2 separate regions of the Mus musculus genome follow, and region 2 is reported to be linked to region 1. The links are microRNA targets in miRTarBase. Many come from high-throughput screens and were not tested one by one. Region 1 holds a microRNA gene; the other region holds the end of a gene's coding sequence.

Region 1 (5,072 bases):
GTGGCTGCTAGCTCAAGGAGACTACCTACTGCCCTGTCCCACCAGAACATCCTCCAAAGGGCAAGCAATGGATGACCCAAGGCCCACACTCACTGTGGCCTCCTTCCTGAGAGAGAGCTGATAACACCTTCATGCACCCGGACACTGGAGACAGAGCCCACTCCAGCATGGTGTAGGAACCTCTGCCTGGCTGGCCTCACCTGCTTTGGCAAGGGACATGGTTTCCTAAAGGACAACAGAAATGTGGCTTTGGTGGCACTAACCTGCCTTACCTGAACAGAAAGCAAAATCAAGCTTTTTAGTCTTTCTCCCAGACTCCTAACCAGCCCTAGGCTCTCAGGCCAGGGCTCCAGCGTGCTATAACCATGAACCTCACAGCCGAGGAGCCATTTTGTGCAGCGTCCTGCTTAAATCACACTCTGAGAACGCTCCTTCTCTCTTTCCCCTCTCTCCTGCTCCCCACTCCCCCTCTTTCTTCTCCCTCCCCCTCTTTCAGGTGAATCGTGCTTGCACAGTTCCCTCTGCCTCTTCAGTTCCACCCATCCAAGCTCAGGGTGGCCCAGAAGGACTAGAGCGCAGGAGGCCGCCCACACTGACAGACACACAGCTAAATGGAAGAGGGTGTAGATTCCAGAGGCTGTAGGAGGAGAAGAAAGGGACACCTCCTAATTATGAAAAATCCTTTAGAATTAACCAGGCAGGCCCAAATTCGAGGTTCCTTCCTGGGCCTTGCTGTCGGTAGGTCGGCCCCTCTGTTTCTCTGATGCTTTTCAGTCTAGCCTGTGTCCTTTTTCTGAGACAAGGATTTGTCTGTGAGGTGGCATTTGGAAAGAGGTGTGTAACTGCTAGCTGGCTTGCTCACTGGCTGACAGGGATGGCAGTGGGGATGCAGCCCACCTTGGATTTGGGGTCAAGATAAAAAATAGGACGAATCTAAAACAAGCACGGGGTACAGAGGTGTGGTGCCAAAGCCTGGTATTAAACAAAAAAAATCCAGATGTGTCATTTAAGGGAGACTGCTTTAGATACCTTTAGAAAAATTCCCTGATCCCTTCCAAATCACCCACTTTGGGCCTATTCTTTGAACCCAGCCTTATGGGATTTGCTGATGGAGAGTGTGTAAGGGGTGCCCCCCCCCCCGCCTCACCAAAACAGATCTGAATGAGTACCCCCACCAAATCTGGGCTGCTTTGGGGATGCCTTAGCACAGAGAGTCTTTGGGACTCCCTCATAGTCACTGCTGGAATCCTGGAACCCGCTACCCCCCACCCCCACTCTATTGTTAAGTCAATCTCTAGATCTTGGATTTAAGATCTTTCTAGGGATGACTGGGGGGGGGGGAAGGAGATATCGAATTTTTCATATTTAATCCTTTGCCTCCCAGGAATGGGTGAAGGGGGTGAATCAGGGCTCATAGTGGGAGGGGTGTACAGGAGCAAGGAAGACAGGATGGGTTTCAGGTGAGCAACCTCTAAACCACCACGTTTAGGAGACTGAGACGGGACTTCAGTTTGGTGGCCAGGCTCAATTCTACTGTGAAACCTCAAAATGTCAATTCTTTTGCCCTGTAAAGTCACTTGGAGTAAGTGGGCTAGGGTGTGCTGTGAGCAGAAAGATGGCAGGAGCTGATTATTTTTATGGGAGGTGAATAGGAGCCCAATTACGGCCTTGGATATCTTTAAGGCGCAGGGGCACAATTGATTACATATCCTTGGCTGTACTAGGAATGGTCAGAGGGAAAGGGCTAACAATCTGGTGCCGACATTTAGGACCTGGTTTGAGCGAAGCATGCCATGGGAATCCCTACAAGTCAGGCAATATATATGGGATACATTGATCTAGACACCCACTCCTTCCCTTAATCCCCAGTCTCTACCGCGGTGTCTGTACAGTGCTGGGCAAGAAAAAAAAGGAAGAGAGACCTTAAGGATAAAGTGACCGGTTCGCAGCCTCTCCTGCGCTCACTTGGTTGCCTTGGAGAGACCTCGACCTTAAACCTCTTCCCTCAAACTCTAACTCTGGTGGTCTGCGGTGGCTGCCAGGCACCTAAGACGTTGCTGGGAGGTCAGAGAGGTTTGAGAGAAAGGCCAGACTGTGTGCATCCAAGCAAGCAGGCCTAAGGCTTCTGAGGGCAGAAGAGGCGCTCCCCTGTCCTCGCGGCGCAGAAGCCGTGAACGCCGAGGCCATTGTAAGGCTGGGTGGTGCCGAGCGCGGGAAGGGGGCTGGGATTTGAATGGAAGCCCGTGATAGGCCGATCCCCCGACTGACGTCACTTCCCCGCGGGGCGATTAGCCTGCGAGAGGAGGGCTGATGGTCCAGTGCGCTGGGGGCCGCCAGGGCGCCCGAGGCTGCCCAAGCGCAGAGCGCCGGTTACCCGAGTGCGCCCCGGGACGGCGTCGAAGCGGGCCGCGCACGCACTGGACGGGGAACTGGGGATGGAGAAATCGCGAGGGCGAGGGAGGAAGGGAGCTGGGCGATCCGGGTGGCGGGAGTCCGTGTGTCTGTGTGTCTGTCGGTCCCCTCTGGCTCTCCGCGTGCGCCCGGGGCTGCGGGAGCGGAGTCCGCTCAGGCCCCCGCGCCGGGTCGGCGGCGGCACGTGGGGCCCACAGCGCGGCAGCGGTGCCGGCGAATGGGAGGCCCGTTTCTCTCTTTGGTTATCTAGCTGTATGAGTGCCACAGAGCCGTCATAAAGCTAGATAACCGAAAGTAGAAATGACTCTCACAACTTCTGCGTGCGATGGCCCGGCCGGCCGCCCTGGCCACAGGAGCCAGAGGAGCCCAGAGAAGCCCACGCCACCCAGGGATTCCAGCTCGACGGAGCGGCCACGCCGGGACCAGGTATCCGACCTCGGCTCTCCTGGGGACACTTGCCGTGTCCTGGAGGCATTCCCTTCACCTCCTCCTCGGTCCCTGCACCCCCATCACCATTTCCCAGCGCCGAGGCTGGAACCCCGAAGTGGAGTGGGTTGGGGGCAGGGAACGGGCTGGGGTTGCAGAGGGGTCGCTGGCGGGGAAGGCGCCAGCCTTTGCCTTCACCCCATAAATCAGGCTAGAACAATCCACGCCCTGAGCTGCAGACTAGGATTTTGGGATGCAAATGCGATGAGAAAGAGAACGGAGAGAGGAAGGGAGAGAGGAAGGGAGAGAGAGAGGAAGGGGGAGAGAGAGAGAGAGAGAGAGAGAGAGAGAGAGAGAGAGAGAGAGAGAGAGAGAGGAGAGAGAGAGAGAGACCGGTAGGCAGTGTGTAGGGGGAGTAAAAGGGTGGGCAGGGGGCTGCCCTGCCGCTAACAATGCAGCCTTTATCGAATTATTCGACGAGTCAGCCCCTGAGCACCATTAGCATACGGCTGGGGGGTTGCTGGAGCTTCGCCCCTCGGTGAGGTCAAGTTCTTGATAATTTGATCACTTTTCACCGGCTCTGGCAGCTGCCTTTGTGTGCAGTTGGGGGGTCTGTGTGCAGCGTGAAGCGGAGCAGAACTGGCGGGGAGTGTACTCAATGGCAAGGGGCCTAGGCGGGGGGCCTCCCGCCCCGACCGACCGGCCCTGCCCTGCATACAAACCAAGAGCAGGCTGCTGGGCGGGAGAGACGTAGCCCAGATCCTCTAAACCTCTATAGTTCTGGTCGGACGGCTGGGGCCGGAGCCTCCCCAACTTCCCCAACTGGTTAAGGGGGAAGCCAGGCTCTCTGGAGCTCCTCTCCTTCCCGCCCCAATAAATGGCAACATAAGATGTATTACAATGTCTAGCAAATAAAAAAGCAATTGGGGGAAAAAATCTGAATTCCGTTCCCATGGCAACCCAATGCTGCACACCGGCCACTCAAGCTCCAGGTCCCTCTTAGCTGGGCGCTGCGAGTGGGGCGTGCCAATGTTCTGTGTCCGTGGTTCTTAGCCCCACAAGGAGCGGAAGGTCCCTTTGAGGTTTCTCTGCCTTCAGGTCCCTCTCCTTCCTGCCACTCCCTTTACTCTTTCCTTATCTTGAAGTTTGGGGCCCCCTGCAACTTAGGAAACCATTAGGGCTCCCGCGTGGTGGATGTAGACCCAGCTATGGACCCTATCAAGTGTAGGGAAGAAAGGATCCAAAGTCAGTTCACATACCTTAAGGCTTGGGGTCTTTTGGGGTTCTTTAAGGCACATATCAGTGTATACATGCTTTAGCAGATTGACTGGGAAGGATTAGTGCTACCATCCTGACTTGACCCGCTTTCTTTTCCTTGAACATATTAAGGAAGCAGATCTGGGGGGTGAGGGCCTACTCCTTAGGGAGTAGCACACACAGCGCAGAAGTGCAGAGGTGGGCACTACCTAGGTCACCTTACCTCCATCTTGGCCCAGTTCAATCCCAAGAGCCTCTTGCCTTAGTTATTTATAAGATTGGTCTCTCAGCCTCTATCCAGAACCTGCCCAGCCCCCTTGTGATAATAGAAATCTTTTTCCATCTTTGTGCCTACCAGCCGTTCCTCCCCCCCCCCCACACCCTTTGCTTAGCAAAATTATCTTAACAACAAAAAGGTGACTTGTGTAAAAGTAAAAATAAATTCAGTGATACAAAGGAGAACCTCCTGGGTCTGGGGAGGGGCAAGGTGTGGCTTCCATACGGTAGATGGAGAGTTTTTCACTGCATTGCCTTGGAATGTTAGACAAAATTAAACGCGGTGGCAGGAAAGCAGCTGTCTCTGTGCCTCCTTCTCAGGGACTCATTGGGTGGAAGGAAGGGGTTCGAGGTCCTTTCATCTTTTCCTTCCCGTTTCTTAGGCCTGTGAAGGGTCACTCGCGTGTTTGAGGACCCAGGAGCCTCCCTCCCCCCAACTGCATCTACTGGGCTTGCTCCCCCTTCCTGGTGCACCTGGGAGCCTGTGTGCTGGTGGTGACCTCATTTCTGAGGAAAGCAGAGCAGCTCTCTCAGCCTGCTTGCCCAGCACTCCCTGCCTCCACGTCTCACGGATGGGCTGGGGCTTCCCCAGAGCCTGCCCCGGTACTCAGAGCCTTCTCTTCCCTGGCCCCTCTCCTTTGCTATTTTTGTAAGAGCCAGTCCTTCCTACACCAAGGTGGTCACATAGCTTCACGACTGTG
Region 2 (5,072 bases), not on the chromosome of region 1:
CTTTCTGAACTCTGACAGAGCTTGTATTTTGAATAGTTAAATACAAAAAACGATAGTAAAACATTAGTTTTTTTTTTTAAAGAGTAAAACTACAACTTCTCCATCTACATTTTAACTGTCTCTGTTCTCTTTGACAACCAAATCCTAAGTATTTTTATTTTTATTTATTTTTGGTTTTTCGAGACAGGGTTTCTCTGTATAGCCCTGGCTGTCCTGGAACTCACTCTGTAGACCAGGCTGCCCTCGAACTCAGAAATCCGCCTGCCTCTGTCTCCCAAGTACTGGGATTAAAGGCATGTGCCACCACTGCCCGCCTTCAAATCCTAACTTATTTCTGTTGTTTTCAGACAGTGTCAGGTAGCCCAGGCTAGCCTAACTAACACAAAATTGACCTTGTTCCTTCACTTCCTACTAGTTCTCCACCTCCCAAGCGCCTGGGGGGATTGCCACCACACCTTGCTCCTGACTTTTTTTTTTTATTTTTAAAGGTAAACCGTTCTATTAGAGAAATGAGGACAGCCGGCTATCCCTGTGGTCCAGGCAGGCGGCTTTGGTCTCCAGTTCCAGTCGAACCTGTGCCAGAAAACAGCAGGACACTAGGGGACACCTAGAGCCTGTTTGTCCTTTGTGTTGACTTTTTCTCCTCCCTGCTTGAAGGGAAAAACTTCCCTGGTTTCTTCCTCAGCAGGAACTCATCCGTCTGGGCGCCCTCTGTTTAAACTTAAGTCCTGGCACCTAATACATCACGCGTGGGATTAGTCACAAGCTGGGCTGTCTCGGTGGCTAAACAGGACTGCATTGCCACCAAAGTTGTCATTTTAGCGCCAGCTGCAGGCTGCCGGGAGCTTAGTAGGTGCTCAAGGTGCTTAGAAACGAGGCTCCCCTCTCTTAGGGTCCCCAGCATCCTTGTCCGGTGCAAGGCATTTGGGGTGGGGGATGTCCGAGGTGGTCCCTGCCTGCCTTCTCCTGTCCCGCTGGCCTGACTCCTGGCAGGGCCCTGCAGGCCTCCGGTGCCCCGACCCTGGCCCCCGCCCAGCTCCGCGGCTTCTAAACGCTGCCCCGAGCTACCGGGAGAACTGGAAAAACACTGGCAGGCCGCCCCACCCCCAGCGGGTCGGGCGGCCGAGACTCTGCGGCTGGGGCCTGCTGCCTGGGCGGCGCTGGCCCGGGGCGGGGAAGCGGGGGCGGCGGCCTGCCTGTCAGCGGGAGCGGGCGCGGGCTCGTGTGTCAGCGGCTCCCGCCCCTCGCCGCCCCCGCCGCCGCCCGCCGGGCCTCCCGCCGCCGCCGCCCGCCCTCCCCGCGGCCTGGCAGGCTGCCGGCTGCACAGGCGGGGGTTCGCGCCGTTCTCACGACCTCTCAGGTTGCCTGAGCTCATCTGGGAGCTATTCATTTCCTGCCAGAAAGCAGCCGGGCCTGCTGGGCGAGCCACCTTGGCCGCAGGGCCGCCGGGGCCGGCCCGGTGTGGCTGCCCTGGGCCGCTCCCGCCCGGCCGCGGTCCCCGAGGCCTCCCAGGAACCCCGAGCCACCCCGGCGGGCGCGCGGCGGGGGCAGCTCGCCCGCCCATCTGGTTGCACTTAGAAGCCCGGAGGAAGTGAGCGGCGGGTTGTTACCGGCCAAAGGGTGTGGGGAAAGTTAATTGACTTTAATGACAGGTTCCCCGTGACGATGTGGGGGTCTGGTTAAACCTCTGGGTCCCCACTGCAGAAGCGCGTGGGAGGGGTCAGGATGAGACCCCGAGGAAGGGGCGAGCCTCAGTTGCTCACCCAGAATCAGGCCCTCACCTCTATCTACCTCTGTAGATTGCTGCCAGAACCTCCGGAGAGCAGAGAGGCTCCAAGGACCTTCAAGGAGAGGCCCTCGAGGTCTCTGGCCTCAAGGACAGAGTTTGGAGCTGTGTCTTATCACAGGAGAGATCTACTCATCCGGATCTGGTTAGAGGGGCAAGGCAGCTGGGTGTGCCCTGAGGTGGTATAATTAGGCCAGGCCCAGAGGATCTGTAGGGATGCCAGAATAAACTGGAATGCTTCATCTCCCCAACCCCCAGCTACTGATTTAAGAAACAGCAGGGATACAGGAGGCAGCAGTGTCTAAGAAATAAATCTATAGCGTTTATGAACTTGGACCTATCCTAGAGAAGGGAAATGACTTATCCAAGGTGGTGCCTGCCATAAGTTCAGTGGTATAGAACAATGTAAAAGCTCCCAACGGGGATATAGGCTTTCTTCTACTCCATATTATACTTGAACAGGCTTCATTTAATAATGTAAATCCAAATTACGGGGGGGGGCACTCCTTTTCAAAAAGAACAAATGGTTTCTTTTCCTCTCACTTCTTCCTGAAGCTGCTGCGTGACACTTTTGGTGACATTAATAAAGATGCATGAAGAAATTAATTTCCCTTGTAGCCCCCTCCTCCATAGATGTAAAAGGAATTACTTTTATAAAATTGAGTTCCTGATGTCTTGATTATTTCTACTACAGAAGCTAGGAATTCTTGGTGGAAACAGAGGACTTTAATATCTAAATTTGGGATGTGTCTTAATGGAGTAATTGTTACTATGTTTATGTATAAACAAAAAGGAAAACCAGGAAAAAATGGAATGACAAAGTATGCGTTGAATACCTTTCTTGGGCAGAAAATAAGGCAAATAGGAGCCAATTAAACAAAACAAAACAAAACAATCTTTTAAACCTCTCTCTCCGGGGGTCGAAGCTGAAGGTCCTGGAAAGAACCGGCTGCTGTCTGCTAGATCATTCCTGTGATAGAGCCGCACTCGGCGCTGGCCTGTGGGAAAGGCTACAGCCAGGCGGGGGAGAGGTAAGGCTTTTGAAACAAGACAGAAAATCGTTGGCTTTATCTTTGTTAGGAAAGCTTCAAAGATTGATCTCTCCCGCCTCATCCTTCTCCTCCCAGAAGCCGCCGCTGTAAGGGAAAGGGGGTAGGGGGTTGAGAGGCGGGCGGGAGGAGCGGGGGCTGGGCGGAGGACTGGCCGGCTGTGGGGGAGGAAGGGCGCGCCGGCCAGACCCACAGCGCGGCTGATGTGTCTGGTCTCGCAGGGCTCGTGGTTTTCATTTCCCCAACACCTGGATGCAGTCAAACACCTGGCCAAATCTGAGAAAATCTGACAAGCCTTTGTGATGGGATTTGGAAGAAATTCCCTGCAGATCCTGGCACAGTTTAAAGCTGTCCGCTTTGAGTTAGGACTTGTTAAGGAGGGTTGTGTGAGCTGAAACCCGAGACAACCCTTTTGCTTCTATCTGGAGCCCACATCTTGCCTGGAAATGGGGCATGACCATGCGAAGGGGTCGCTTGCTGTTTGTATTAAAAGGGGAAAAACGGCCCGTGTGCCTGCCAGCGCAACCCCCACATGCTTTCTCCATTAAAGTCAAGCGCAGAAACTTATCAGAAACATATGTCTGCTGTTAATCATCTGGCCCGGGCTCCACTTGGGAGTCTAACTAGTTGTACCCTGGCAGAGAGAATCTGTTGACCTTTTCAGCTTGCTTGAAGAGGGTGAAGAGAGGCATTTCAAACTTTGTGATACGGGTGCCAGGGGATGCCTAGCTACGCCTGAGTAAGGACAGACAAATGAAGGTCCCAATGCTGGAGGGCTGCAATGTGGCTTGAGCGCGCTTTTACTTTAGGAGGCCAGTGGCTACTACAGGGAGTGAGTTGGGAGCCGCCCTTTGGAAGGTAAAAAAATAAGGACTGTTTATCAGGAAAGCCCCATCAAATGAATTCTCATAAATTAGGTCTTCTTAGATCATTGAGTGTTGCTGAAAGGTTTGATGGTTCCTGTTTAAAACTTTAAAAAATACATCCTATTTCTGAATTGCCAAACTACATGAATTTCAAGCCCCACCACTTTTTTTTTTTTACAAATTTTGAAATAATCAGTTCTAAGACATAAAAGCCTTCACTCTTTTATTATATTTTCTCAAATAAACTTCCCCAAAGGAAGATATTTTAAGAGCATTTTCAAACATCTTTGGCATCACATAAAAAAAGAAATCTCGTGTAAAAAACGAAATGTCATCTCAACTTTTATAATACAAAGGCGCAATCCAATATGAACATATAAAATATATACAAATGCAGTGCATGGTCAGTCACTTAATACAGCTCTCTACAAAAAGTAACTTTTTAGAATTAAAAAAAGCAACAAAATAACCACCAAATTATAAAAGTCTCTCCTAAAATCCAAGTTCGTTTTTAGTGTCCGTCAGAAGAGAGAGGTGGGCTAGGGACTTTACGGGTAGCAGTGGCCTGAGGCTCTCAGTTCCGCCACGGTCTCCACATGGAGTCCGAAGTGAGCGAGGAGCCACTGGAAGGTGACACTGCGTTAGGACCCACCGAGGTCCCACTGTTGCTGGTGTAGACCGGGATGACCGGGCCGCTGTGAGCGAAGGCCCCGTTGGGGATGAGAAAGGCAAATTGGCCGTCAGGAGCCGGCACCACTTGGAAGCCGCCAAAAACCTTGGCAGCCTCTCCAGCCTGGCTGCCCAACTTGCAGGGTGCGCTGCCGGGAGGGGGCGCCGCGCCCCCGGGGATGGGCACAAGCGGCGGCGGCGGCGGCGCGAATGGCGCGTGCTGGGGACCGGCAGGTCCTGACGGGGGCGGCGGCGGCGGCGCCTGCAAGGCGGGGTGCGCCTGCCCGGGGTAGGTCATGGCGTTGATCTGGGTCATGCAGTTGGCCAGGTGGCCCAGCAGCCGAGTGCGCACCTCGGTGTTAACGCCCTCACACGTGGACAGGAAGCGGGTCACCTCGTTCATGCACTCGCTGAAGCCGGCGCGGTATTTCCCCAACACGCTCGGGTCTGTGCTGAGCGCGGCTGCAGGCCAGAAGGAGAAAAGATGGGTCACCGAAAAGCCCTGGCCCCGGAGCCATACAGCCTCCCGCCCTGGGAGGTCCCCGCAGCGCGCCTCCGGAACCACCTGGGGTTGGGAGGGTTGGGTAGGCTAAGAACAGCCAGCTCCTTCTCCCTAGGTTGGGGACATAAGCCAGGACACTCCCTCCATCTAAACCGATCTCAGCTCCAGATCTGCCACCCCTAGTCCCGCGCGCGACCTGA

Evidence for each region. Region 1 holds the annotated microRNA mmu-miR-9-5p (UCUUUGGUUAUCUAGCUGUAUGA, at 2,648-2,670, shown strand). A microRNA usually pairs through its seed, bases 2 to 8, with sites in the 3' UTR of a target mRNA and lowers its output. Matches are read on the target gene's strand: a 7mer-m8 pairs with bases 2 to 8, a 7mer-A1 pairs with bases 2 to 7 and ends in A, and an 8mer does both.
Region 2: miRTarBase lists Hes1 as a target of mmu-miR-9-5p. Seed matches in the 3' UTR shown: 7mer-A1 at 3,986-3,992.

The regions. Positions count from the first base shown.
Region 1 is chr7:79,502,632-79,507,703 of GRCm38, forward strand. It overlaps Mir9-3 (microRNA 9-3), which reads left to right and starts at 2,633; the gene lies at 2,633-2,722. The region is part of intron 1 of Mir9-3hg (Mir9-3 host gene); the gene reads left to right. It overlaps Gm51285 (predicted gene, 51285), which reads right to left and starts at 2,705; the gene lies at 2,648-2,705.
Region 2 is chr16:30,066,632-30,071,703 of GRCm38, reverse strand. It overlaps Hes1 (hes family bHLH transcription factor 1), which reads right to left. Exons shown (of 4, transcript NM_008235.2): 4 at 3,908-4,832. The coding sequence ends at 4,276. Gm32998 (a long non-coding RNA gene) reads left to right here and starts at 1,266. Exons shown (of 3, transcript XR_876001.2): 1 at 1,266-1,591; 2 at 1,774-2,817; 3 at 3,057-3,841.